Linked DNA regions of Astyanax mexicanus. The protein of the gene in region 4 purifies or fractionates together with the protein of the main gene of each other region. This does not show direct contact. Links are inferred from orthologs where the notes say so. Each region holds a gene or a part of one and is shown on either strand. Other genes may lie near its edges. The genes, in order: atxn3, runx1, ccnd1 and hdac3.

What was found.
Region 1: the proteins of hdac3 (region 4) and atxn3 purify together in Homo sapiens (affinity purification with western blotting; 3 studies listed by BioGRID). This does not show direct contact. The link is inferred for Astyanax mexicanus from reciprocal best matches to the Homo sapiens genes HDAC3 and ATXN3.
Region 2: the proteins of hdac3 (region 4) and runx1 purify together in Homo sapiens (affinity purification with western blotting; 3 studies listed by BioGRID). This does not show direct contact. The link is inferred for Astyanax mexicanus from reciprocal best matches to the Homo sapiens genes HDAC3 and RUNX1.
Region 3: the proteins of hdac3 (region 4) and ccnd1 purify together in Homo sapiens (affinity purification with western blotting; 5 studies listed by BioGRID and IntAct, with this or other methods). This does not show direct contact. The link is inferred for Astyanax mexicanus from reciprocal best matches to the Homo sapiens genes HDAC3 and CCND1.

The regions. Positions count from the first base shown.
Region 1 is NC_064421.1:14,488,701-14,495,955, reverse strand, and holds the start of atxn3 (ataxin-3), read left to right. Parts: upstream 1-4,246; 5' UTR 4,247-4,327; coding exon 4,328-4,351; intron 4,352-5,953; coding exon 5,954-6,118; intron 6,119-6,208; coding exon 6,209-6,253; intron 6,254-6,700; coding exon 6,701-6,786; intron 6,787-6,884; coding exon 6,885-6,951; intron 6,952-7,041; coding exon 7,042-7,129; intron 7,130-7,240; coding exon 7,241-7,255. Other genes in the region: gamma-aminobutyric acid receptor subunit rho-1, read right to left, coding at 1,461-1,576. UniProt on the Homo sapiens protein: Deubiquitinating enzyme involved in protein homeostasis maintenance, transcription, cytoskeleton regulation, myogenesis and degradation of misfolded chaperone substrates.
Region 2 is NC_064428.1:5,713,030-5,720,658, reverse strand, and holds the start of runx1 (runt-related transcription factor 1), read right to left. Parts: upstream 3,021-7,629; 5' UTR 2,667-3,020; coding exon 2,570-2,666; intron 2,396-2,569; coding exon 2,228-2,395; intron 1-2,227.
Region 3 is NC_064423.1:33,877,842-33,885,211, forward strand, and holds the start of ccnd1 (G1/S-specific cyclin-D1), read right to left. Parts: upstream 3,015-7,370; 5' UTR 2,662-3,014; coding exon 2,464-2,661; intron 888-2,463; coding exon 672-887; intron 234-671; coding exon 74-233; intron 1-73. UniProt on the Homo sapiens protein: Regulatory component of the cyclin D1-CDK4 (DC) complex that phosphorylates and inhibits members of the retinoblastoma (RB) protein family including RB1 and regulates the cell-cycle during G(1)/S transition.
Region 4 is NC_064417.1:54,131,508-54,138,922, forward strand, and holds the start of hdac3 (histone deacetylase 3), read right to left. Parts: upstream 3,019-7,415; 5' UTR 2,890-3,018; coding exon 2,835-2,889; intron 342-2,834; coding exon 259-341; intron 143-258; coding exon 1-142. Other genes in the region: myot (myotilin), read right to left, coding at 6,268-6,398. UniProt on the Homo sapiens protein: Histone deacetylase that catalyzes the deacetylation of lysine residues on the N-terminal part of the core histones (H2A, H2B, H3 and H4), and some other non-histone substrates.

The DNA.
Region 1 (7,255 bases), on a different chromosome or scaffold from region 4:
CTGAAAGCTCAGAGGAAAGCACCGGATCCCCACTCTGAAACATCACAGACCCCTTGTGTATTAAAATGTGAGTGATGCGGAGGGGTGAGTACAATCTACCCAGGGGCAGCATCACCTGGGATTAAACTCACAATCCTTAGGCCACAGTGTCAAAGTCTTAGACTGCCTAAACCCCCAAATACAGTATTAAAATATTTTTAGAGCACTTTTATAAATCTTTAATGCTGGGTCTAATTAGAAAAAAAGAATGTGGGAAATACAACCCCACACCCCCACCAAAAGTTCACACTGTTCAGGTACAGAACATTTGAAAAGAGACTAAAAAGGGTAAATAAAATAATAATTAAGGCTAAAAGTGTGTTAAACATGGATTGGGTGTATCTGACACAGGAGCATTATTGTTGTATCTTACAGTTAAACATAACAGGAGGGTTAGTGATCTAAATAGTTTGCAAAACACCTTCTACAATGCTGTACACAGGCTTCCTAAAATGGGTGTTTTTTATCCTCCACAAATTCGCAATGTAGATTAAATCTGCTGATAGTGCTGTCCTTACATTACCTGAATATCCTCACACCTCAACACACTCACTTCATCACTCTATCACCTGTGTGGCAACCTGTATTGTTTTGTTGGAGTATTATAATGATAAATATATATTTGGTGGTTCTCAAAAAAGAATAAAATTAATTCTCTCTCAAAAAAAAGTACAATATTCTTTAAACAGACTAACTAAAAAGCTAAAGAATGTTCTGTGGGATATGTGTGTGGGGCCTCCTGCATTAAATTGAGATTATTTCCTGCCAGAGTGATGCTGCTCTGCTCACATGTACAATCCTAGCCAGATGCTGTTGGTCATGATCATTATTACCCACAATGCTGATTTCTGTGACATATTCACTACTTAAACAGGTATTGGCATTCCCAAGCTATTGCTAATTGGAATGTCAGTGTAAAGAACTACTGATTTTACTAAATAAGCTTCGAAAAACACTTTAAGAGTGTAGAAAACAGATTTAATAAAGTGCTAAATGCTATGTATGTACCAATTTGTATTGGAAAACCACTAAAATATGAAGGACGAGGCTTGAGAATAACTGCCTTAAAGTCTAAATGCTTTCTCTACAGATATGTTCCTCAAAGCATTACTTAAAGTCTACGTAAACACGTGAGCTTGGCAAATCAAGCTCTAAAGAGTAAAAATAGCATTAAACTCATTACCCTCCTCTACAAACACAATCTTATACATGATGGATGTGCTGCTCCAACAAAACATTCTTAAAGATCAGATTAAAGTCTTACTCTAAGCTGTCTTTAAACAGTTTGCAGAACTAAAACATTGTAACAACTTACACTGAAGTCACCACAGTATGTGATAAAGCACAACAAGTGGCACAAAGACACTACAGAAAGTTCTGTATATACTCTTTCAATTACATTGATCAAATTGGTTCTTTACCTGCTTTGCTTATAGGTCTCCAGCTTGTGACCCCTCTGGTAAGGTGACATCCCGGCCACACCCATAAGGTAGGTACAGAGGAGCAGGACTACAGCATCTGCCTGCATGGTGCACATACCCTTACACAGCACCTCCGGTCAGATTCCGCACACCTCACGGGCAGGAGCAGCTCCTGAACACACAGCCGAGGAGGACATTCTTTTTTAGCACTGGAGCTCAAGAAGAACACACAGCTCTGCCTTCACTGTAAACATCCCTCAGTGCTTAATCTCCCCACTGGGAAAAGCAATTTTGACTAAACCCATAAATCCTTGAGCGTCAGATGGCACAGATTTGATCCCTCCAGTGGTGAATGTGCCGTGCTCTGCTCTGCACCGCCCCGAACCAATTCTCCTAATGATCCACTGCTCTGCATTTCAATGTGAGGTCAGTCACGAGGATGGAGGATGCTGCACAGACAGACAGCAGCACTAACTGCGAGACGCTGGCCCCCCTTTCAGTGCGCTCAGATTATCCAATCTGGCTGCATTTGGGAAGAATTTCTCTAAAAATACTGGGCTTTACAATCGCGCTTGGATGGACCTAAGTCCTCTGTGACATTTGCATTCTGCACATGACTGTACATTACAGCAGTCTGTAATACAAGCGTTTACAAATCTAACACAAATCTAGCACTTGCAAAACAGTGGCTTAGTAACTTATAGTGCACACACCTACAGAGATAAAAAACAGTAAAAACCAGCTGTGGCCATCATCGTAGATTTGGGTTAGTTCTATGAAGAGTCACTTTAAAAATTGGAGTTAAAAACGTGTGAGCGTGTGTGTTTGATGCTGGGATTTGTGATCTTAGTGACCTAATTCTAGTAAGTGGGAATGCAGTAATGAAATTCTGAATAGAAAATGAGAAGCAGTGGTTCTTATGGTTATACATTATTGATAAAATTTAGTTTATACTGTCTTTTCAGGCAGTAAAGTTCACAAAGCATAAGCCTAAACCAGTGTGCAAAATGGCACAATTTTGGTCACATTCCAGCTGAAAAACAACATGGCCAGCTCACGAGTGTAAAGCTGGTTTACCACCCTATATTTTGACTAAGGTAGAGGGTATGTTTAAGTTTAATAGTTTATTTGGTCAACAAGTATGATCAACCAAAGCAAGCTAGATACCCAGTATGACCAAGCTTACCCATGCTGGCATTGTTAAGAATGTTTTTGTCTGGATGTCCAGCTTTCATCCACTTAAACTCATAATTACAAAAACATTTATAGCAAGTAGATTTAGCCTAAAATGCCACAAGCTACATCAGCAACTAACTTTTTCTAATTAAAGCTCCTACATTTTCTATACTGTAATTTATACTAGGAAAGATTCTAATTTTTTCTGATATCCTCAATAACACTTGCATTTACTAGTATATTGTAGGCCCATAACCCATGTCACATAACATTGAGGTTTCCTGTACCTGTTAAGCCTAATGTCCTTAAGATACTAAACTTTGCATTTTAGACTATTTGCTTTAAATAGGCTGTAGGTAATGACACACTGATGACAGGAGAGGGGAGTCACACAGACACAAAATTTTTATATTTTCCTTATATAGAAAATAGCAGTTTAAATATTGGATATTAACACAGTAACCACAAAAGAACATAACACTGTGGTTCATTCCCTTTCATTCTATAGAAATTAAGCCAAACAAGTCAAATTTACACCCAGGCTGGAGTCCAGACTGTAAAATGGGCTGTTGCATTGTTATTGGAATAGCCAAAGCTACATATCGCATGACCTGCGGTTGCTTCACTTTTGAGAGATGCTGTGCTGTCCATACTTTTCTACAGTAATTGCTAAAATCCTGAAGTAAGCCAAGCTGTAGTTTATGTTCAGTCTGTGTTTATGCTATAGGTTTAAAGTTATCTGCCAGTTTTATTATTCTTTATGTGCAGTGTGAATACAGCAGCTGTTTCTGTAGACTGAATTACAACCATGAATTTCTTGTGTATAGCACCATCTGCTGGACGTATCTATCAAGCATTCCAGCCTTGTTGTATACTAGTTGTGTTCTGGAGACAGAATAATCAAATTCAACATCAAAGAAACAAAATAACACCTAAAAAATCATATAAACATTTGTAGGCATTAAGTAAACTGCTGAGCACATAGTTGCAGCACTCTTTGCCCTGAGAACACCTACAGTCCAGGCAGTGCTGTGCTAAATTAGGCCTCAAAATATCCAAAGGCAGATCTGTAAGATGTGCAAGGTGCTCTTGAACTAGAAATAGAAAGTATGAAAAGAAGCCTAGAAAAAAATTTTTGTGGGTACGGCCATATGGACCAAGAACATCAAAAGCCTTATATTACATTTTTTAACATCTCTCTCCCTTAGTTGTAGACTACGAGTCCAATATTTTTAAAGCATTAACTAAAGTAGCAATGACAATAACAAAAAATGGTGGATGTTTCTAGTTATGGTGACTGCACGATTTATGATGGAGTATGCATATTACAATCTTTTAGGTAAATTTTCCAGAATTTGTGTGTATTTGTGCAATAAATGATGATGTTGAAGTAAGCGATTTGCAGTTGACTTTGTATTTGTTTGTTTTTCTGTGTTTATCTTTTGTTTCCCCATATGTTTTGAATATTATATGTATTATATATTGTCTTTTGGTATATTTGTGTTTTTATTATATAAAATATTTTTTTATATTTTATTTTTATTTATTTTTTATTCATCTCTCTCTCTCTCTCTCTCTCTCTCTCTCTCTCTCTCTCTCTCTCTCTCTCTCTCTCTCTCTCTCTCTCTGCTGATGTCACGCGCGGGGTCAAAGTTGGCCAGTAGCTATGATGCTTCATAGACAATTCAAACATGGAGTCTATCTTCCACGAAAAAGTGAGCTCTGCTTTTCTTTCCTCAGTTTTTATAAGCTCGTTACCGGCCAGTTTGGGCGCGCTCGGTCCTGTGGTTATTAAGACTGATAGAGCTGAGTTTAGGGAAAGTGTCTGAGTTTATTTTGGCTCCTCTTAGCTCTTTGCTAGGCTGTTAGCTCGCTATCATGCTAAGCTAGCTCGTTAGCTAACTGATAACCAGTCAGCGGATAGGCGGTGTTTTGACCGGTTACAGGGCAGTAGCTAGCGTGTGAGTTAGGGGGTGCTTGTTGGGTTTATTTTTAATTGTGTTCTGATGTTTTCGAGGTTGTATGGGTATAGTATCGCTGTTGGTGTAGCTGAGAATTCAATGTTTGGGAAAAGAAGTTCCGGAAAGCAAAAATCCGGCCCGGGATTTGGGTGTAACCGCCCGGGCGGCTGTGCTGCAGCTGTGCCTTACTGGCGGTTTGAACAAATTCCTGCGGTGGATTTTTAATTCCTGGACCTGGGCTACCCACTGCTACAGATAGTTGTCTAACCAAAATAATTATAACCTAAGTGCGCATAGCTAACTAACTAACTAACTAACTAAATGTATATGATTAACAGCAGTTACTGTCTAAATTATTGACAGTTGGTAAATATTTAGTTCTTACTTTACCTAGCTAAGTTACTGTGATTGCTTATTTTCTGTTTTGTTGGACTAACTAGATTAATTAGCTTTAACTTATTTGGGACTTTAATTTTAAATTCAGGAAATTATGTCAAAAATTTCATATATTATGATATAATATATTTACCATATCATCTAGCTTCATCAGCATGTGACTATGCTGTTCATATAATTCATATCGTTATATTTTATAACAGAAATTAAGAAATGTATCGTAATATACTTTTTGGCCATATTTTCCAGCGCTACTAGAATGGTTGTTTGGAATGTCGTCCACATGTCTATTAGCGGTGGTGGTGTCTGTAAAATAAAGTATGTGTCCTGTTGGCCTGTCACTATAACTATGTTATTGACTTGTCGTACACTATATGGAAATTACATCAATAATTTTTCCAGACCATGTCCAAAGAATTTTCTTAGCAAGAAAAGCAAAATAATGTGAATGAGTTTGTATGTGGACTATGAGACTGTCTAAACATTTTTAAAAAGTAAAAGTCCATTGCTCTTTAAAATGGGATTAGTGCATTAATATGCTACTATATTATCAGTTGCATACAATATAATTTTTTGCTATTATGTTTGGGGTAATATGTCGCCCACAAAAAATATTATGAAATATTGTGAAATCACTAGTGTCCAGCAGTTTATTAGCACCTGCCATATATTTTTCTGAAATCAATGGATTTTTATTTGTATTATTTTTTTTTGTGCCAAAATTATAAAACATTGCTCTAAGGATTTGCTAGGAGATTAATTTTAGCCATAACATTTAATTTAGCCATAAAAATGTATTTTCAATGTTTTTTTTTACTAAGAGTTTACACTACTGTCATCTATTGTTTAATCTAAAAGTCATTGCCTTAAAATATGTGTCTGATATTTTATTATGTGGAAGAAATGTGTAGTTTCTGTCTATTTTCAGAATGTAAAATATGCTAATTCATTGCCTTACAGCAAGAGGGCTCTTTATGTGCCCAGCACTGCCTGAACAACCTACTTCAGGGTGAATACTTCACTCCAGTGGACTTGTCGTCGATTGCACAGCAGCTGGATGAAGAGGAACGGATGAGGATGGCTGAGGGGGGTGTGCTGAGTGAGGAGTACAGGACATTTTTACAGGTGAGTAAAAGTATGATGTTGAGGTCACAGTTAATGTTAATAAGCTATTCAGCAGCTTAACAATGTTTTGGTTGTTTTTCTGTATCCCAGCAACCATCTGGAAACATGGATGACAGCGGGTTCTTTTCCATTCAGGTGAGAATTTTTTGTTATTTAAAATGGTTTGTTATTAATAATAATAACAACTCCCAATGTTTTATTAATGTGCTATTCCATGCCACACTGCTAGATGTCACCAGTGCATTGGAAGTGTTGACATAAGACTATTATTTATAAGCTTAAAAAAAACACATTGATTAATTCAAATGTACAAAAGTCATTTAGCATCAAGTAAAGTTTGTTCAGTTGCTTGTTAAGCTATTTACCTGAAATGTTCTGCATGCTCCAGACTGTCAAGCAAATATCCACAAATATGCATTTAATTCCTGATCTTATAGTGGGTTCAAAATCTGTGTTCTGACGTGACATGGAATAGCATATATTTTAAGGATGTTTATAGAAAATATACTTGTATAAAAAAAATAAAAAAACATTTTTTTCTTTTGTAATTGTAGTTAAACTGCATTTATGTTGCCATTGCAGGTGATAAGTAATGCTTTAGGAGTGTGGGGTTTGGAGCTGATCCTGTTCAACAGCCGGGAGTACCAGCGACTAATGATAGAGCCGGTGTAAGTTTCCTTATGTTTTATGTGTAACTGTTCTCGAATTAGTATTTCTGTTGTAGTTATTTTTAAATGTTTAACTCAAATTTTGTCTTTAATTTTAGAAATGAAAAAGCCTTTATATGTAACTACAAGGAACACTGGTTTACAGTACGAAAGCTGGGCCAGCAGGTAATACCATTAAACAATACCTTAAAGTGTCTGATTATTATTCTACTAAAGAGAAGTAAAATCTTATACATAGCTTGTCCTTCTTTGTAGTGGTTTAATTTGAACTCGCTTTTAACGGGACCAGAACTAATATCAGATACATACCTGGCACTTTTCCTTGCACAGCTACAACAAGAAGGTAAAGTCGTTTTGAGTACCTTTGGAACTGTTCAAGTACATTTAAAGTTAAGAGTTTCCCCTGTATTTAAAGAGAACCTTTACTATGTGTGTGTTCATGTTTTGTCTTTAGGGTATTCCATCTTTG
Region 2 (7,629 bases), on a different chromosome or scaffold from region 4:
TACATTTTGACTTCATGAAAATACAAAACATTTACAGTTGACCTGAAACCTACAATACTGTACAAAAATGTACAATAAATCATCATGACCTTCATTGTTCACCTTCTTGCTGACATTAATTATGTTTAATTGCATGTTTGCTTGCATACAAATTAAAATCTTAGGTATTTTAGCAGGTTGTGCAATGACCAGTGCATCAAAAACAGCACATCCATACACACAGAACAGTCTTTATTAGGGAAAGAAATAAATAACTAAACATTTATTGCTTTTAAAAATGTGTTATTGCAATATTATTATTCTAGTATATTGCCAATATGTTAGTGGCTTTAAATGACAAGTACTATGATGTATTGCAATTATTTCTGGGGCGATATATTGTCCAACAAAATGAGTAATTACGCACTCATTCACTTTACCAGCCTTAAGCTATATACCATATTTGCACTACTGTTATACGGGTTCTATTTATACTGTCATTCCATCTCAATCTCCATCAATATTAAACTATTGTCCTCCGTCTTACGTATGTCTATTGTGTTCTTGTTGTATTGTACATATAGTGTCTCATATTCTTTTATATTATATGTATTATTTCTTTTTATTTATATTTATATATCTTATTTCACCCCCCACCACTACTGCACCTTGTTTCTGTCTCATGTATGTCTATTTGTGTCCCTGCTGTATTGTACACATACATGGGTGTCTCCCATTCCTTCTTTTATTATATATATATTCTGTACCTGCTGTAAAAATTGTGGAGGAGGGTAATGTAATTTCAATTCTCTGTATGTCCTGTACATATGCAGTATTGACAATAAAACTACTTGAATTGACTTGACTTGACTTATATGTGCAGTATTAACATTAGGACAGTGTATGTAAAAAAACTGCTATAGTATAAAAAGATACATGCATTTATAATATATGTGTAAAAAATAATTTAACTTTTTATCAAATCTCAATTGCATGATCTAATGACCAAGTCAGAGTTTAGCACAAACTAAACAACTGTCTAAAACCAATCTAACAATATGAACTACTAATTATTGTACAAAAATCTATACTGTGTTTTTAAAATTGATACAGTAGTGCAAAAGAAAATATTGCAATACCATGGAATATTGATCATTCTTATGCACCTAATTAGCGTAGTAAAAATAATATGTTAGCCTTATATTTATACTAATACCAGTATATAATAACATCAGTGAATTACAGGAAACAAATGTGATTATCTGTATGGTATGTCAGCTACTGTAAATGCAGAAGATATAGAAAGGAAAAAAAATGTTGCGGTCAATTTAAGATCATCGCTTGCTAAATATGCACCATTACTCCTCAGTGCAATTCTCCTTCAGGTTCTAATTTCTGGGTGTGTTTATGAGTTCATCTGTCCCCCCACCTCAATCTCAATATCATAAAATCTATAAAACACCAGCTCCCTGTCTCTCCATGGGAGTGAAGAGCAGAAACTGAGTCTGTTGTCCATCCCAGGTGTCTGACACACAGGCAAAGAATGCTGTGCTGCAGTGATGAGCCTTAACCTCCCTCTCACACCCAGCAACTAAACTAAACTAAAGTCAAAAGTCTTAAAACAGGCAAACTTCTATTATTTAGTGGTCAAAACTGTGGAGGGTCCACTTAAAGGTGTTTTGTGAAATTGTCAAGAAAGATGTTCAACGAACATTTTCTTCTAAAAAAATGTATATATATTTTATTTTTGTGAAAGTTACTCAAAGCAACACACTTTAATGAACATTATTAACATTGTCCATAACATCCTTATATAAAAATATATATATATATTTACATATACAAACAGGAAAACTTTATCTAACGCAAATATGTTATTCTTTTTTTACACAGGAGCATTGCAGAGAACAAAGGGCATTGCAGTACATTCGTAAAAGCCCGCTGTGTTATTGCTTGGTGGAGTGAGGTTAACCAGTGGAACACTCAGTAACCCACAGACCTGTGGTTTTCAGATTCAGCCACGAGATTTCAGTACACCACTGACACAGCAAACCAACCAGTGTGACGTTTTGGATGTTTTGCCTCTACTTTCCATCATGCTTATTAGTTTGTTAGATTGCAGTCAGGCTAAGAAGATAAGATAAGAACTTAAGCCGTCAACTTCTTGTTTCACAAATGTGTGTCTCTGAAATTCTGAGCAATGTATCAACATATAATCTAAATATAAATTAAACGTAACATGACTTACCTCTGGTGAAGCAAGACTGATAGGAGGAGAAGGTCTCGAAGATGCTGTTCGAGGCCATGGCGAGTGGCTGCTTCTCAAAAACGCTGTCCTCCTCTTCACTGGAGTCCAGCGCCTCCAACTTGACTTGGCTCCTAATTTTGAAGTTTGAGTCTGTGCTGCTGCTTTGCCCTGGAAAGACCAATGGTACAGGCATGGTGAGTTTGTGTAAGAAGGTGTGCATGGTCTAAGAAACGATCAGTAAAAAAAAAGTCTATAGACTTTAGAACCAATGGACAACCTCCACTACACAGTGCTCCCTAAATAAACTGAAAGTCTACAGAACAAAATCCCTGGGTTACACACCAACGCCCACACCCTCAACACCCTCAAGTCCATGGTCATCCAGTGATGGTCCGGTCGTGGCATCAGGGCAGTTGTTGTGTCCTTGCGTGTTGTGCATGGTTGAGAGACACTGCAGATAGTGATCGGCGGTCAGACTGCGGTCGACTGATGCTTACCCTTGTGCTAAAGAGAAGGAGTAGAAATGTCGCGCTGTGGTTTCTGTCTCTCTCTCTCTCTCTCTCTTCTCTCGCTCTCGTTTTTTTTTTTTTTTTTTTAGTAATCCGGGTGATTCACACTGACATCTGACATCAACACGTAGACTCAGCACTCTCTTCTCTCAGTTTCTTCTCTCTTTCGTTTTTAATCGTACGGTCCGGTCTGGTCCCCCCGCTCTATCTTTATCTCACTTTTCTCCAGGGCTCAGGGAGCCGTGACTGGTGGCAGTTTTGGTTTGTGGTTGTGGTGGCCCACAGAATAGCGGCTCCCAAGCCAAGTGACAAGTTTAACTCTTCCCTTCTATAAAAAAAAGCAACCTAACCCTAACAGCTCAAGCTCCATTGGGCCGCCACGGTCACATGGTCCGCTGTGGTGCAAATTTCATTCTGACTTTGTGTTTAGAGGTTTCCCTTTGTAATACGGGCACAGCACAGGCTCTATCAGCAGCCCTCACTCCTCTACGTTCTCTTGGAGGAAACTGATGTGTTTTTTCGTTTTTTTGCTTTTTTCATGCAATAGTAATAGTGTAAAACAGGGCACAGCAGGTGCACACAGCAGAAAAAAGCAGTACAGTTCAGACGAGTTCAGAAGAGAAGCTAAAATAACTGCACATGACTGTTTGTGTAAGAAGAGAATCTACAGCGCAAACAGAGTCTAAACATGCAAATCTCTCTCCAGGAGAGCACACAATTAGCCCTGTGTCTGTAGCAGCATCTGACCACCTCAGCTTGTCAGAATTTACATGTCATCTTTTCATATCTCTTTATCTACATATTTTGCACGAGAAAAGAAAGAGTGTGTTTACTTACAGTAGCGCGGTTCAAAGAGGATTGCATGTGTGTTCAGTCAAAAGGCAAAAATATATATTTATATATGGCTGAAATAACAAAAAAAGATGCAGAGCTTTTAGATCTCAAATAATGCAAAGAAAATAAGTTTATATTCATAAAGTTTTAAGAGTTCAGAAATCAATATTTGGTGGAATAACCCTGATTTTAATCAGTTTTCTTCATGCATCTTGGCATCATGTTCTCCTCCACCAGTCTTACACACTGCTTTTGGATAACTTTATGCTGCTTTACTCCTGGTGCAAAAATTCAAGCAGTTCAGTTTGGTTTGATGGCTTGTAATCATCCATTTTTATTTAGTGAAATCAAATATATACATACATACATACCATATAGCCAAAATGTCACACAATATTTTTTAATCTAATTAATGCATCATGTAATAAAATATTATAAAAAAGATTTAAAAAAAATTATATTACCATTTTTTGTCGCAATATGCATCAATATTAATCCAGTTTATATGTATTGTAATAAAAAAAGAGTGGATTTCTATTCATTCTGAAGATTTTTATTGGTCTGTTTCTAAACTGACATGGTTTGGTATAGTAGTTACAATATGCAAATTTTAAGAAATACACCAAATACGCCAACATTATACTTCTTAATTTTGGCAATACATAAATACAGTCATTTTGATGTCGCTATTAAACTGCCAAACCTGCTCACAACTAATTTCTGTACTGTTAAAAGTAATTGACAATTTATGTAAGTAATGCAATTTCTCATTAATATTAGATATGTATATAAAACACCCAATTGTCTATCATTAATACTATATACTGATATTTAAATTATTTTTTAGTCATATACGCATATAGGTTGCCCTCACTTGCTGCATATCTGGCACACAAACTGAATCCTATAAGATGTTTATTCTATATAATTTCAGTCCACATTATTTAAAGCCAGTTCCACAGGTGGTGTGTAATGCATGCCAGAGTATTGCCCACATCAGGGCACTGTCCATCATCAGGCAAAACCAGCCATTGTTTAGGTCTAATCGTGTGCAAAGAACACCACGTCCACGAGGGCCTCCTGCAAAAAGCCTCCAAGCCCATTATATCATCCTCCGACACCTGCGTCCACTCCTGTCCCCTACCCGCCCCCTGTAACGAACACTCGCAACACCTCCACCTGCACCACACCTCCAGCACATGCCGAACACACCCACACCTGTGCTCACTTTTACACACAGTAATTTAGGCGTTGGGGTCAAGTATGGTGGGGCGGAGTGTGGCGGTTCGCATCGGCGTGCATGGCCAGCTGCTACCCCACCCACACTGGACTCAGATTTCAGACTCAGACGCAGACACACTCCGGGGGCAAAATACTGACGTTTGTAGAGGGAAAGTGGATCTGTGTGTTTTGCCCTTAATTGTACATTTGATTTATATGATAATGGCACTTTTATGTTTTACTCTAAACTAAATAGGTGAACAAATGGTGCAAATTGTCAGTAAAAAATATGTAATGAATAAAAATTAGCACTGAAAATATATATATGTTACACCTGTAATGTCATTAGCATCGTAGTATATATCATATCTGTTTCATTTAAGAGTTTGTCATTTCACCAGCCAATGTAATTTTCCCTGTGAAATTAAGGGGAATTATTATACAGTATTATACAGTATATCCAAATATTGAATTTACAATGTAAAAATATCATAAATATAACATATATATTATTTTTACATTGTAAATTCAACATATTAAAGCTATACAGAAACATGGAATTATTCTGTGAACAAAAAGTGTTAAACAACCCAGAATATGTTTTATACTTTAAATTTACATTTATCTTTGAGTTCAGATCTGCACACTCTTGGTGAGATTTTAATCTCAGTGTCTTCATGAGGGAGAGTCACCTGGAATAGTTTTCTCAACGTCTTGAAGGTAGGAGTTTCTGGAGGTGCTGACCAATAGCTGCTGCTTTTCCTTCACTTTGCTGTGAAGCTCCAGCTCATCCCAATTAAATCACCTCAAATCAATTTTTTACTGTTTACTACATAATTCCATATGTGTCCCTTAACTATTTACATGTTTTTCAATATTAATCTACAATGTAGAAAATACATTAAATAAAGAAATAAAGATAAAAACTTAATGACAAAGTGTGTCCAAACTTTTGCCTGATACTGTATATACCGTATCTTCCTTTTGATTCATTTAAACTGTAATGCACTTTAATGGTCTTTACTGTCCACCCAGGAATCTTGGGATATCTGCATCTTTAAGAAAGCAATCTTTGATGTTGGTGACATCACAACCTTCACACTCTTTTATTTCTAAAGGACTGAAGACACTTACTGAATATCGTCGCTGTCCAATGAAAAACACTTATCTCCAAAACAGCAACTTTACAGGAGAGAAAAAAACCTTGTGAACTTTTAATGGAAGTCAATGTAGAATTAGTTTATTTCAGGTCATTTTGAAAAGTTTCTTTTGATCTGTTCATCAATAAATTTGGCACAGTGTGAGAGAGTTTGTCTGTTCAAATTATGTAGTAATCTAAAAATCGACAGAAAAGGAGATAAGTGTTTTTTATAGGACAGCGACGATATTCAGCAATTAAAAATATTAATGACACTTAAAATTTTGTCTCAATTTTTAGCGAAGGTAAAGATTGTCCACCCTGATATGGTCTAATATCATGGTAATTAAAATAATGAAAAATTAAAACATGGAATTAAAGGTCAACCACATTTTCATCACATGCATGCAAGTGGAAATATAAAACTGTTTAGATTTCTGTATTGTAAAATTCTGTTCTGGCAAAGGAATTTTACAATAACGCTACATGAATAAAAGTGCTTTAAACAGTAATAAACATTTTAATGAATGTTTAAGCAATATCGCAACTAATTATTCAAGTTACCATATATTTTAGACTATAAGGCACAATTTTAATAAGTGTCTATTTTCTGGTTTATTTTCATACATAAGGCGCACCAGATTATAGGCTGCATTAAGTGACACTAGTAAGGATGCCTACATCGAAGTGAGTACAGGTTTCGCCATGTTTCTCTTTTAATGGAGAAGCTAGAGAAAAAAAAAAGGCTAAGTAAACAAAACTGTATTTTAAAAACATATGAGTGCTGGATGTTAATCTAGACAGATTTCTCTGCTGAAAACTGTTTATTTGGGTGAGTAAAGGGCTTCAGTATATTGACAGTAATCTTACATTTCCAGTATTTTGTGCAAGAGTGTATTACTGAATTTTCAGTGAAGGTTCTCCAGCACTAAGGCTGGGTGCAGCAGCATTAGCATTAGCTGCTAACCACAGTGCTAGTGGGACGTAAATGCTGTAAATGTGTTTCGGTAACCCAGAGTATTATCAGCTTTATACAGAGCTTGTTTTAACATGGTAAACACAAAGACTACAGTCCGAGCTAGTGTTAGTGCAATGTACATAAATTAAGGCACACTGTCCATTTTTAGGAAAATTAAAGGATTTTAAGTGTGCCTTATAGTCCGAAAAATATGATAACTGTGGAACGGTTGAAACTCATCATTATTAAACATTAAATTACAGATTTATTTCCTTAAAATTGGATCATTTCACTTAGATCTTCACTTCACTAAGATTAAATTTTTTTTGCTGTGTAATAAATTGTAATGCTTTAGAATGTTGTAAATACTGTTGAAATTGTATGAATTGAGATATTATTGAACATTTTGCAATTTTTAATAATTTCTTAATCTCTACTCTCACTTCATAATTAGTTTAGTCATTAAAAATATACATATTAATTAATGTTAAGTTTTAAAAGAATAGGTTTGAGGGCACAGTATTCTGATAATAACTATGCAATATTTCTGACATGGCTTAGAGGCAGCATATGTCACTGTATGTGAGATGAGATAAAGCAGAAGTTTGAGATCATCGTGAAGATATATAGAGTAGCTTCTAAAGAAACAATGCTGACATCATGCAGCTGCAGCTTCCTTTAACCTCCAGTTTCCGGGGAGATTCGGGTTTTAGGGTCAGACAGGGTCAGGGGGTCATCCAGC
Region 3 (7,370 bases), on a different chromosome or scaffold from region 4:
CCACAAAAACATATTGGTCAAAAGAAGAAAAAAACAAGAGAGAGAGGTATAAATGTGGATCACGCATACATACCTGTTGCACATAGAGCCACGAACGTCTGGGCATGCTTGCGCAGGATCTGCTTGGTGCCCTGGTGTATCTGCAGCTTGGTGAGGAAATGTTCAATGAAGTCGTGTGGTGTCACTGAGGCTAGATCCCACTTCAGCTTGTTCAGCGCCAGCAGCTCCATTTGCTGTGAGAAAGACACACGAGAACAGAGCGGCGGTTTACATAAAGGACTTCAAAAAGTTCTTCACGCTTCCACCATGTGTGCTCTCACTGAGCAGAAGCAGTCAGTAGTCTAACGGTCGACCACTAGATGGGGTCATATCTCAGGAGCTACAATAGCACTGTGCTATTCAATTGATTTAAGCTATTCAATTAGCAGTACATTTCAACCCACAACCATTTAAATGCTGACATGCAGGGAGTTTCCATTCTGAAACGCTCTCTCTCTCACTTTCTGGGTTTGTCTATGACTAAAAACTAAAATGCAGAACTGCACTGCAACACTGCATGCATCCTGCAAAACCTTAATGCAAGCAAAAAAAGCTCCCAAGAGTGATTAACCCTCTCAACCTCATAAACTTCAGTGTATTACTGTGTTGTTATAATTAATGTAATTAATTACCAAGAGCTCGCATGGACGAATAGAGTTGTCTGTGTATATGCAGAGCTTCTCAGCTGTGAGAGGAACGGTTTCCTTCATCTTGGAGGCCAGGAACATGCAGGCAGCTCCAAGCAACTGCAGCCTGCTCTTCTTAGTGGGCTCCACAGACAAGAATCTGTCCAGGTAGTTCATAGCCAAGGGAAAAACCTCCTCTTCACATTTCTGCTCTTCACACACCTTAAAAGAGAGAAGAGTTTTTGAGTCAGGAGTCACAAAAGTTGAGAAACAAAGCCATAAAGCCGACAACTTACATATGATTTCTAATGTAAGAAAAGAAGAAAATAAATACAAGAAAGACAAGCAGTGAGATTGATTGCACTTAGTCTTAAACGAAGTATTTGTAAAAGAAGACATTAAACATTAGGCCTGATTAAAAAAAAAAAATTTTATTCTCGGAAAAAATGGACTTGTGGAAGTCCCACGTGCTTTGTGTGCACCGGGCATAGCTTTAATACTGAAAAGCCTAAAAAAAATCCATCTATTGCAGTGCAAATAAATGTATTAATAATTAGATTAAAGAGAAGCATTAGCTAGCTGATAACACGGCTTTAGCACCAGAGGCTTTCTAGAGAGCGCGAGCAGTGGTGCACATGCTAGCAGCGGCTGCTTCCTTCAGAATGCTACAAAGGTGTCGTCACAATTTCTAGTTCGTCATCTTTTCAAAAAATATTTAAAAATATAACAAAATTGTTGCGGCGCACCTAAATAGTCTCTAAATATCCTTTGACGTATATTCTATCGCTTCCGATCGAAAAACGTCGAATTTGTGAAGGTTAAAGGGGTAAATTTAATTTAAATGTCACCGACAGTGAAAATGTGGACTGAAGGACATGCTCGACGCCGCGAGCGCGCTTTGAAAAATTAATATAAATTATTCTTGCGCACTAAACCCCACTTTATACACGTCTAAATCCGCCTCACACCCTAAGGAACCGAACCCGAACCGTTTCGGGCTTGTGTTCGGCTTCAGAAACGTAAAAAATAACATTTTTGTACGTCTTGGAGCTTCAGAAGCCGACAAGCGGAGGGGCTCGTGTCTGAACTGAAAGTAAAGTTTTAAGAGCTTAAACCACTACATTGCACCTCAAAATTCACCTCAGTCCCCAAACACTAAGTTAAATGTGCGATAAAGAGTGATTCTCGCACATTGTCTTCAAATGTTATAATCGTTTGAGGTGTTTTTTTAACATATTATTAGAACTTGTGTCGGCGCGGCAGCAAAGATGGCGCATAATAGGCTACTGGCACGAGTGGGATTGCATACGTGTACATCGATATTAAATCGAAATAAATTCGATTAAATGTTTTTGAGGATCTTTCTTTGGGTGGGGAAGAAAACGAAGCGAAAGTGGTCACATCTCTGCGAGGCTTTTTTATTTTTATTTTTTAAAGCGGAAAGGAGACCTCCTCGCAAAAAAAAAATCGCTCGAGACTTCCTATAGCTAACTTACTTTCCTGAGGTGTTTTTTTTATTTTCTCAAAATAAAAAAAGCAAAGTGGCTTAGAAAGTGTATTTCGGACACTTTTCGAGCATTAAAATCCACTTTTATAGCTTTTAAGCCGTGACAAACTGATAGAGAATGTTTTTTTAAAGCGTTTCCTCCGGTTTCTACCAGGCCTGTGCGGAGAGATAGAGGTCCAAAGAGCGTGAGGAGAATCGTCTTGAGAAAGGGAGAGGAAGAGAATAAAGCGCAAAAAAGTTGTGCAATGTTAAAGACATGGGATTAAAACGCCTCTGTCTGAAAACACAAACCTCCAGCATCCATGTGGCGACGATTTTCCTCATTTTAGGCACGATTTCCTTCTGAACGCACTTGAAGTAGTTTGGAGAGGGGAGGTAGGTCTCTTCAGCCCTCAGCATGGTCTGTAAAACTCGGTCGTTCAGCAGGTTCGTGTCGTGGTAGGCTCTCCGCACGGCGTCCACCTCGCAGCACAGCAGCTGGTGCTCCATGATTTTCGGGGTAATCACAGTTTTAGCGGCAGATAATTTAATTGAAGCACTTGATTAAAGCGTGCGTCCCGCGGATGATGCTCTTGTTGCGGCTGCTGTTGTTGCTGCTGCTGCTGCGGTTGCTATACTCAGTGTGTGAGAGAGTGTGCGTCTGTCTGTATGAGAGACTGAAAGAGAGAGAGAGAGAAAAATCCACCGCTTGACCAAAGAAAAAAAATCCTTTGGATGACGTGACTGTTGTTAAGGAAGATCAAAGCGCCGCGCGCGGCCTGAGAGAGATAGAGAGAGAGGGAGGTGGAGAGAGAGAGAGGGAGTGTACGAAGGAGAGAGAACTTTGTGGTCGTTTCTATTGCCGCCAGTGTGGAAATGGGAGGTCCTTTTTTTTTTACTTTTACCCCGGGTGGCGAACGGCTGAGGGGTAGACGGTGGGGGGTAGGCAACAGAGGAGGAGCGAGGGGGCTTTTGAGGAGGAGGAGGTGTAGCTAGGCTGGAGGGGGAGGGGGGGGTATCAAATGAGTATGAGTGAGAGAGTGCTGCTGGTGCTTTTGGTGCTTTTGGTGGTGGTGGTGTAAAGATGTGTAAATGTCTAGAAATGTTGGTAGGGGGCGGTATAACAGGACAAATCACCGACCCTAATTATTATCAGTTAAAGCGCAATGGAGCTGGACTTTCTAGAAACTGTCAGGCTTTAGGTTTATTATTAGTATATTAGTGCGTTATTAGAGTGCGTTTATGCATGTTCACAATTTCTACAGTAATATTATAGGCTCAAAAATAAGTTTAAAATAAAACTGTGTGATTAAAAAATAAAAACAAATGCTGCCATTCTATTACAATTGTATTTGTAAATGCGTTTTCTACTTCTCTTGTGGCGCATTCTTTTAGATACAGGCTGCCATAAAACTTGTGAAACTTAGGGGAAATGAGGTTTTAAACGCTGTAGCAGCTCTTTGTCTTCCACACCAAGAAAAGAGAAAAAGAGGAGGAAGCCGAAATTAGCGTGAACCAATGAGCGCAAACTTCAGTTGCCAGGCAGAACTGCGGCTGGAGCTGTGGAGCTTTTTATCTCAGCCCCTCATTGGGTGAACGTGTGTGGGAATGTGAAAAAAGTAAAAAGAGACAAAAAGACAACAACTACCGCAGTTTGATCACAGACAGGAAGAGAAAAGTAAAGACAGAAGTCAATAAAGAGACTCGCAGTTTAACACTCTGCATTATCAGAAAAGGGGAAAAAAAGTTAAAAACATTACATCAAATAATTTCAAGTTATTTCTAATTAAAGTAGACAAGTCGAAAAAATATTAAAGATTTATTTAAGGGATCTATGATAAGTTTTTTTTTTAAATATATATATCTATTTTTTATGCGTCTCTCAAGTCTCAGACTTGTGTGTGAGTGTGTGATGTTAACAGTTTTGCTCAAATAGGGGCGCTCTCACTTTAAAGACCTCACTGCTGGCTGTCGCTGGGATGAATTGGAGCCTTTGAAATTCCTCACATTCCTGACTGGACACTTTTGGATACCGTATAACATCTAATACAGTCGCGCTAAAAAAAACGGAAAGAAAAGTTGCCTGTTGCTTCTTACATAAACAATGTAAACTTTTTTAAACTCTGTTTTAGATTGCACACGGAGCTGTTTCGCTGCATATACGAAGTTTTAAACCGTGGTTAAAAAAGGAGGCTGTTTAAAATGCAGAAAAACACTGCTGTAAATGTGGAAAAGGGCACAAAAGTTTTCACACAGTAACAAAGCAACTACAAAGCAGTTACATACCAGCATGACACGAACAAGGAAGTGCTAAACAGTTTGAAACTAAAAAAATATATAAAGTATGTTTTTTTGCTAATGTTTTGTTACATTTTTATTCACATATTATAAGCTGTATTATATCTGTAGAAGGCGCTGTTTTAAAGTACTTATAATCATAGTTTATTTTCACAGTAAACATTAACCCTTCTAAATTAAATAACCAAATACAAGAATCATATAACTCAAGAAAGCCTACCCATATTTGCTTTGCTTTTTCCATGTTTACTACTGAATAATTATAAATTTACTACTGAATAATTATAATTATAATAGTACATATGATATGTATTAAAAGTCTGAGATAGATTATATGCACGCATTGTATAAGGTCTAATAAAATGTTAATTTAACGTTAGATAAACCATATAAAGAAAAAAAAGCCTCTAGGTTAAACAAGACATAGATAAATAATCTGAAAAAGATAAATCATATGCATGTAAGTGGGTCTCAACCTGTTACTTGCTAAAATGTAAGCCCATCCAAATATCCTAAAACCGATTCCACAGTTTATATATAGTTCTGCATTGTTCTGCATGTTCACCCTGCACCCACATGCATGAGCTACAACACAGAGTCTTTGTTGAATGAAAGACCATGTGAGTTTGTGCCTGTGCTGCTCTTCCTGCTAATACGGTAAACTGAATAGAAAGTTTTAAGGCCTTGCAAATGTCCCTTTCAGCAGAGACCATTCTCACATGTTCTCAGAGTTTAAAAGACTTGCATCATAAATGCAGAGCAGTGTTTTATTTCTTCATTTAAAAGAAGAACTGGATGCAGTGTTGCTACATTCGTTCATTTCCTCAGATATTTTTAATGAACGTTGTTTCAATATGTTCCTTTTTTTGATCAGGGAGCTCCAGCTAAGCATGAATAAAAGTGAACTCAGATGATACTTCAGACTGAGTTACAATTTTATTGTAACTAGTGAATTTACCATTTATTTAAGTACAGCTGTATAATGTTGTGTCATAAAACCAGGGGGTTAAAAACTAAGGGTTATTAAAATATGGCAGTTTTTTTTTTTTTTTTACAGAAATAATGAATGTGTGTAGTATTGCTGCTGGCCTGTTCTGCAAGTTGAAAGGACATTCTCTGAGTTTCAGAGAAAAAACAGCTGTTTAAAAAGCGATTTCAATTAAACTTTTCAATTAAACTTAACGACTTAATTAAACATAAAACACAAAAACTTACCTTAATAATCAATTGTTTTTGATTATCTGACATTGATTTAATTTTCCTACAAAATGTACGTTATTTGGACACTTTGAAAAAAGTTACCTAAACAATAAATAGATAACAATAAATAGACTCACTCACTCAGAATCCTGACCCCCCACTAATACAGTACTGAAACTCTGCACTACAATGCACAAAGTACTGGTCCCTTCCAAACGGACTTGCACTACACACCCAAACCTGCACTACTGATATACTTGCACTGTCAATTCGCACTTTAATTCCCCATAAACTGTGAACTTTAAGAACTTTACGCACTCATTCACTTTACCAGCCTTAAGCTATATACCATATACCGTATTTGCACTACTGATATATACTATTTATACTGTCATTCCATCTCAATCACCATCAATATTGCACTATTGTCTTACGTATGTTTATTGTGTCTTGTTGTATTGTACATATAGTGTCTCCCACTCTTTTATAGTATATATCTATTTCTTTTTTTACTTATATTTATATATCTATTTCTCCCCACACCACTGCACCTTGTTTCTGTCTCATGTATGTCTATTTGTGTCCCTGCTGTATTGTACCCATAATTTCTCCCATTCTCTTTTACTATATCTATTATCTGTACTTGCTGTAAAATTGGGAAGGAGAGTAACGTAATTTCAATTCTCTGTATGTCCTGTACATATGCAGTATTGACAATAAAACTACTTGACTTGACTTGACTAGATTTTTTAGATAACAGAGTGCAATACATTATATTGGAGTAAAAAGTCTCCTTTACAGTAAAACACATGCCGCACATACAATAAACACTTATTTTATTAATATAATACATTTTAAAGACTGCAGTGAAGAACACAGGATTGTGTTTTTTAATATCTGTTACACATACACTGTTTTAAAACATAATTTAACAAAATAAAAACACAATTATTGTTCTAATAATGGTTAAAAATTCTAACTAATTGAATTAAAGTTTATATGATATAAAGAGTGAAAAGCTAGGATAATAGGATGAACTATATAACTTTTAAAAAACAAGATCTCATTTAATAACAAATAATAACATAAAATATAATATTAATGAAAGAATAATAAAGGAAACAAATACTGAAAGGTAAAAAATATATTTAATTTTAGGTATGTACAATATAGAATTTGATTTAGTATGCAATGTAAGGATGAATGGTCAAGTATGTTTAGTGCAAAAGTATATATATATATATATATATATATATATATATACTAAGTAATTTATTATTCAGTGTGTGTAAGAGTTTACCGCTAAAATGTATGCATTAAGCTAACTCTCAACAACTTTAAAAATGATTAAATGGCTTTTAAATTATTTTGGAACCGAAACCCTTAAATAATGTTTACCTCATATAATGGATTATAAATGCTAACACATAACTATTGTACTGTTTCTTTGCATGTATTTTAATATTATTTTCAAACAAATAATACCTGTCATTAACTCAGAAGGCCTGCATAAATACCATTTGCATGTTATTTATGCATATACGTCAATTAGCCATAACAATAATACCACAGAGAGGGAACATAAATAATATAGACTGTCTGGTTACAATGGCAGCTGTCTAGGTTTGGGATCTATGTTTTAGGCAGCAAGTGACCAGTCCGTACTGCTGGAGAGGAAAAATAGGCAGGCATAAACATTTAATCACAGGGACAAGAACCTA
Region 4 (7,415 bases):
AGTCGTCTCCAACGTTGAATGTGTTGAGGCTCTTGGTGAAGCCCTGCATGTTGTTTGGGCTGACTTTCTGCAGGAAATCGATGTAGTCCTCTGAGTGGAATCGACACATATCGTGCTGAGAGGCTTTGTATGGTTTAAAAACCTGGTGGGGAAAGATATAAGTTAGAGAAGCGCTGTGCTTGTGTAAAAATAAATAAACTAATAAAAATGCATTACATCTTTAGAAAGAGTAATTAATTCAGAATAAATGTGAATTACCATCATTTTTTTATATAAGCCATAATGCAGGACCAGACTGTGGGTGAGGGACAGTCTGTGGGGTTTCATTGGATGACCAGCACCTGCAGAAACAGCCAATCAGAAACGTTATTCATATAGCAATTAGAATGCACATTTGTGAGAGTGTGGGAGTTTGAATATGCTCTGTATTAATAAAAACATTTACATTTAATCAGTTTTAACTGTTCCTCACCAGGGGTGCAACAATTAGTCGATATAATTGACAATGCAGATTATTTTAATCGACATTGTCGATTAATCGTTAATTTGTAACAGTAACACATTACACAAAGTGCTGGGGACAGAAGCGCAATGGGAGACTTAGCTAATTTGTGTCTCCAAAAGTGTTCATTACATATTATATCAGTAAACATCAGTAATTTCCATTTTAAACAACGTTCAGACATTTAAATGCCATTTAAACCTCATGTTCTGCTGTTTCTATCGTTTTTAGAGATGGCAGAATTACTAATGGCATTGACTAATCGACTGATCGGAAAAAAAACCCCGTCAGTTTAGTCGACTACCAAAATAATCATTAGTTGCAGCTCTATTCTCCACAAAGTCATGAGATTTTAATCAAAATAAAGTGAATTATGCATATTCACACAATCTGTCTTTTTCCTTGATTTAAAGCGAACAGTCAAAAATCAAATTAGAACAATATTCTAATTTACAGCTTTATTGTTTAACCTTTATCTATTTTACATTAGGGTGGAAACAAGCGTAAAGTCATAAGTCATGGCCGTAAGTGATCCCCATTACTTAATTATTACGCAGGAAAAACCAAAGAGCTGGTGGTGGACTTCTGCAGGACCAAACACTCTCCTCCGGTGCCTGTGAACATCCAGGACTCGGATAGTACCTAGGTGTCCACCTTAACAACAAGCTGGACTGGACTGACAACACGGCTGCTCTCTACAGGAAAGGTCAGAGCAGACTGCATCTCCTGAGGAGACTCCAGTCCTTTGGCGTGCGGGGGACACTACTGAGGACCTTCTTTGATGCCGTGGTGGCATCAGCCATCTTTTATGGAGTGGTCTGCTGGGGCAGCAGCATCTCCACCACCGACAGGAAGAGACTGGACAGAATCATCAGGAAGTCCAGCTCTGTCCTGGGGTGTCCTCTGGACCCAGTGGAGGTGGTGGGAAACAGGAGGATGAGGACTAAGCTTAACAACATGCTGAAGAACCTGTCCCATCCCATGCACCACTCTCTGACAGCACTGAGCAGCTCCTTCAGTACCCGGCTGCTGCACCCACGCTGTGTGAAGGAGAGATACCGCAGGTCCTTCGTTCCACACGCCATCAGACTTTACAACACACCGCGCTCCCAGTAAACACTAGTTTACTATCTCAGGACTTCATAGAAACCTACATACTACTCAGTGTAGCTGTAATGCTTACGGTGTGCAATATCCATCTCACTACGGGTACTGTGATCATCATTTGTGCAATTTATTTAATGTGCAATATTTTTTTTTCTCACTTTTGTTTTTATCTATTATTTATTTGATATTTATTCACTGTTACTCTTGTGCAATAATACTGGTCCACCCTACCATAATCATATCTCTATGCACTAGATGTATATATATATTTTCTTTTACTATATATAATTTTTTAAACTATCTTTATATATTTTCCTACAATAGGTTTTCTGTATATATAGATTTATCATTATTTGTATTTACCTTTTCCTGACCTGTTTCTCTGTCCTTTACTCTGCACTGCTGTAACATGGTAAATTTCCCCATTGTGGGATTAATAAAGGATTATCTTATTTTATCTTATCTCACTCCCAAGCAAATTTTAATGTAAAGTGAAAACAAGTATCTCGAAAAACAGCAACTTTGGACTTCTACAGGAGGAAGAAAAAAAAAAACTTTCTTTAATTGGAAGTCACTGTAAAAGTTGTAAAATGAGTTTATTTCAGGTTATTCAGGAGAATTTCTATTGATTCATACAACATCAGTTGTAAAAACTATATAAATAAATTAGGTCTGATTTGATGAAATATGGGTAAAAAGCGGAATATGGTGAAACCAATAAAGGGTAAAATTAGCTAATTAATGAATATTTAGAGCTTTCTATTATCTCAGTGTTTTGTTATTTACTCACAAAATCAATAAAACAGTTCTAGCTTACACTGAAAAGCGTCAGCATTAGTTACCGTCCCTCAGTGGGAAAATTCACAGTATTACAGCTGCAAAGGGATAGCAATGCGCTCAGTACAAAAATATATACAAAATACACCTTGCAATATATACTCAATACAAATAATAAAAAGTCAGAACTCTTAAGAGTGTATTTATAAATAATTGCATATTGCTTATTAGTTGCACAGGGGTAATACATTGCTGCTAATCTAGTCCCCTAATCTACAGATAAACCCTCACTAAAAAAAAATAATAATAATAAAAAAAATAATAATAATAATAATAATGTATGGGGAGTTTATTTACTGCAGTTAGCCGTTAGCTTAACTGAGATGCTAGCGCGGTTCTGAGGTAATCTGTTAGCTTTAGCCGCTTTAGCTCCTCATTTTCCGCTTACCGTAGTGAAAATTACCCACATCCGGGTCATAGAAATACGCCGTTCGATTCGTCATTTTACCACCAGATTTAAGCAATCGATTAAAAGCGTTAAAATGCGATTATTCGATAAAACTCTCCGCCAAACCGCTACAAACACATCCGCCGCACAGTCGCCATCATATACACGCGCACAGATACGTCATCAACCGGGGACAGAGACATCGAAGTAGGGCACGTTCCAACCACACAAACTTCCGCACTTCATAGGGTGTAAACACTGTTCACCAGTATTAGAAGTGCACTTATATATTTATTTTATTGTTTTTGAAAACTGTAAGAAATTGTTAAGCTATAAGACAGAAATGTACTATGATATAAGACTCATTTACACAAATAAGCAACAAAACATTGCTATAAATTAACAGAATAAATCATAAATGAACTGAAGTTACTTCATTAATGGTCCATTTAACGATTATTATTTACATTTTCTAACCATTTAAGGCTAAATGCAAAAATAGAAATTTGATGTAAAAACTCATTATTTCATTTTTTTTATGTAGTTTAGTGTACAAGAAATACGTTTTCATACATTTTACAATTGATGGAAATGAAAAGAAAAAAATATTTTCTTTATTTTCTGATTTTTTAATGTTTGCATTTTGCAAGTTTATAGATTATACCATCAGATTTGTGTTACTAGATACAAAAACTGACAAATCTGAAAATAAAGAGAAGATTCAGCTTTTCGTTTTACTTAAAATTCTAAAAATGGAAAAAAATAATAATTAAGTTTTATACCCAATTTTCTACTTTTGATTTTAGCTTGATACAATCAGAATACATTATGTATGATTTTTTGAATTTGCATAATTTTTATAATCGAGTTCATTTTCATTTGGGAATATAAAAAACAAACACGACAGGAAGGTTAAAATATCAATCTGAACTTTATTGATCTATTTATTGATTTTACAGAAAATGCTTTAAATTAAACTGTCAGTTCACGAACATTGCCAGCAATAATTTAACCTAACAGTTTATAAATATGAGAATTGACAAATCTGAATATTAGGTTTAGATTTATAAATGCATATCAATTTAAATTTGCACGTGAAAAAACGTGAAATTTTCTTAATATGTATTTTTAGCCATCACTATTGCTGTACAAAAGTACCACCATACAGCACATATCAGCAAAACACCATACAGCACATACAGGGGTTGGACAATGAAACTGAAACACCTGTCATCATTTTAGTGGGATTTTAGGTTTCATGTGTAAATTGGAGCAGCCTGGTGTTCAGTCTTCATTAATTGCACATTGCACCAGTAGGAGCAGAGTGTGAAGGTTCAATTAGCAGGGTAAGAGCACAGTTCTGCTCTAAATATTACAATGCACACAACATTATGGGAGACATACCAGAGTTCAAAAGAGGACAAATTGTTGCTGCATGTCTTGCTGGAGCATCTGTGACCAAGACAGCAAGTCTTTGTGATGCATCAAGAGCCACGGTATCCAGGGTAATGTCAGCATACCACCAAGAAGAACCAACCACATCCAACAGGATTAACTGTGGACGCTGTAAGAGGAAGCTGTCTGAAAGGGATGTTCGGGTGCTAACCCGGATTGTATCCAAAAAACATAAAACCACGGCTGATCAAATCACGCAGAATTCAATGTGCACCTCAACTCTCCTGTTTCCACCAGAACTGTCCGTCACCACAATCAATTATTGTGCTCTAAAACCAGGTGTTTCACTTTCATTCTCCAACACCTGTATATATCAGTTTAAACAGACAGTACGGACACATCTCCAGAGCCTGTTCAGTAGTACAGTAGTATAGTAGTATAGTAAAGACGGCAGAGTATAATCACCCGCTGTTCACTTCAGCTCAAAACCACTGATTTTTTTTATGTTTAAACATATAATTATTATTAATATTTCTACATTTAAACCAGTCGCACATAAAAGCAACATAAATAAGCACTTGATTTTTCTTAATTCATTAATCTTTACATAAAATTCAAACTTTACACAGTCATTCTAAACTCTAACACACATGAAAACACTTTCCAGAGCCAGAGAGAGCCGAGAAACGATCAGAAATTACACAAAACTATAATTTCAGCTAAAAGTAGCTCAAATATCACTGCAGCGGGAGAAGAGTCTCAGTAGAGCAGCGGGTTATTGATCAGTATTGATCAGAGGGCTGTGGGTACACATGTTTGTCTGAGTGTATAAGTGTGTGTGTGTGTGTGTGTGTGTGCGTGTGTTTGGGGGGGGGGGTTAAAGGCAGAAAGAGTTCAATTGAAATCCAGGCTAAAGTGCATCTGATTAATGCAGGGGATGAGAGGCTTCAGACAAACCGATGATATTTTTTATATATATAAATAAAAGGGCACTATGAGTGATTATGATAATCATTTTTATTTAATTTGGCACTGATGCATGTTATTTATGTTGTATATCATTTAATGTTACATGTTGCTCATTATTCTCTATATATATCATTATAATTACTATAATTTTTATATAATTTCATTTTAAACAGAGCAGCAGTTACTTCAGCTGTTTTACAGACTTACAGATAATAAATAATAAAGAATAAATAAAGAAATAGTATAAATATACTGCTATCTGTACTTATTCCTTACATTAATATTTATGCATCAATCTGCCAGTCTGATCATATACCAGCCTACAGACGGTGTGTTTAAAAATATCTTTATTTTATTATTAACTGGTGGAAGTTAAAGGAGATGATATAAGTCAGATCTGGAAAAAAATAAGAGACACTTAAAAATGATGAGTTTCTTTGATTTTACCAAATTAAAAACCTCTGGAATATAATCAAGAGGAAGATGGATGATCACAAACCATCAAACCACCAAACTGAACTGCTTGAATTTTTACACCAGGAGTAAAGCAGCATAAAGTTATCCAAAAGCAGTGTGTAAGACTGGTGGAGGAGAACATGATGCCAAGATGCATGAAATTAAAACTGTGATTAAAAACCAGGATTATTCCACCAAATATTGATTATTTCTGAACTCTTAAAACTTTATGAATATGAACTTGTTTTCTTTGCATTATTTGAGGTCTGAAAGTTCTGCATCTTTTTTGTTATTTCAGTCATTTCTCATTTTCTGTAAATAAATGCTCTAAATGAGAATATTTTTATTTGGAATTTGGGAGAAATGTTGTCTGTAGTTTATAGAATAAAACAACAATGTTCATTTTACTCAAACATAAACCTATAAATAGTAAAATCAGAGAAACTGATTCAGAAACTGAAGTGATCTCTTCACTTTTTACAGAGCTGTATATGTTTATATGTGTTTGAAGATTATGAGGGATATTTTCTATATTAAATATATTATAGGCGTAGAGGTCTATAGACACGTCTCCACTGAGGTCTATAAGCAGAAGGGAGGATTCTGGGTGAGTCTATAGCTCCTCGCTCTCGTACAGCGGCGCGGTGTGGCGGGGGCTGCTCTCTGAACCCAGGCTGGAGAACTGGTTGATGATGGGGAGCATCTTCACCGGCTTTACTGGAGTCCCGGTTTTATTCACCCGAGCTGCAATAATAATAAAACACTTATAATTATCAGTGTAAAAGAGAAAACAGAGAACAGACAGTAGTTCACTAATAACAGAATAAGTGTGACGGATCTCCTGAGTATCTCCTGTTAGAGTTACACCAAATCAGGGCTAAAATATATAAAAAAGCAGAATAAAGACTCTTTCATTGAAACAACAGCAAACAATCTAATTCCTAATAAATTGGCAGGTTGGGTGTACAAGGTAATAAAACCCAACAGAAACCATAATATACAATATATGCAATATTCTCATGCATTGTTGGATTTTGCTTGTCTGGCTTCCAGTTAGTTATAAAAGTGCTTTAAAGTGCTGCTGATCTAGAGTCTATAAATCACTGAACAGTTGTTGTCCGGAATACACTGCAGATCTGTTTTGAGAAAATAGACCCAATAGATCTGTTAGATTCATGAACTCGGGTCAGTTCGTTAAACCCAGAGTCCAGTCTAAACATGGAGAAGCAGCTTTTAGTTATTATGCTGTATATAACTGAAACAAACCACCAGAAAATATTAGAAATGCCACAAATGCTCTAAAAACGTTTTCTTGTGCTTTTAACTAAAGCACTTTACTTCACTGCATGTATATTTTCCCCTTATCTTACAGTATTATCATACTTTACTTGTATTTTTATTATTGTTGTTTTAAGATGTTTATTTTTCTTTTTAATGCACCTTATTAATACCAAGGTGCAACATGGAACAACAAGCAATAGACAACATAAAGTGCAGGAGTGACGACAGTGCAACATAAAATTATAAAATTATAACACTAAATAACAATAAATACAATAAATACAAAAGACGAGACAATTTAAAGACAGGACAGTGCAGTACCGATACGGTATAATAGAGTGTATAGTGAGGATAAGGTGCAGAGATGTGTGACATACTGTAACATATAGAACATATATAATCACAGCAGTTACTGAGGTAGAGAGTTTTCTTTTATTTTAATTGTCTTAATGTTTTTATTTCTCATGTAAAGCACTTTGA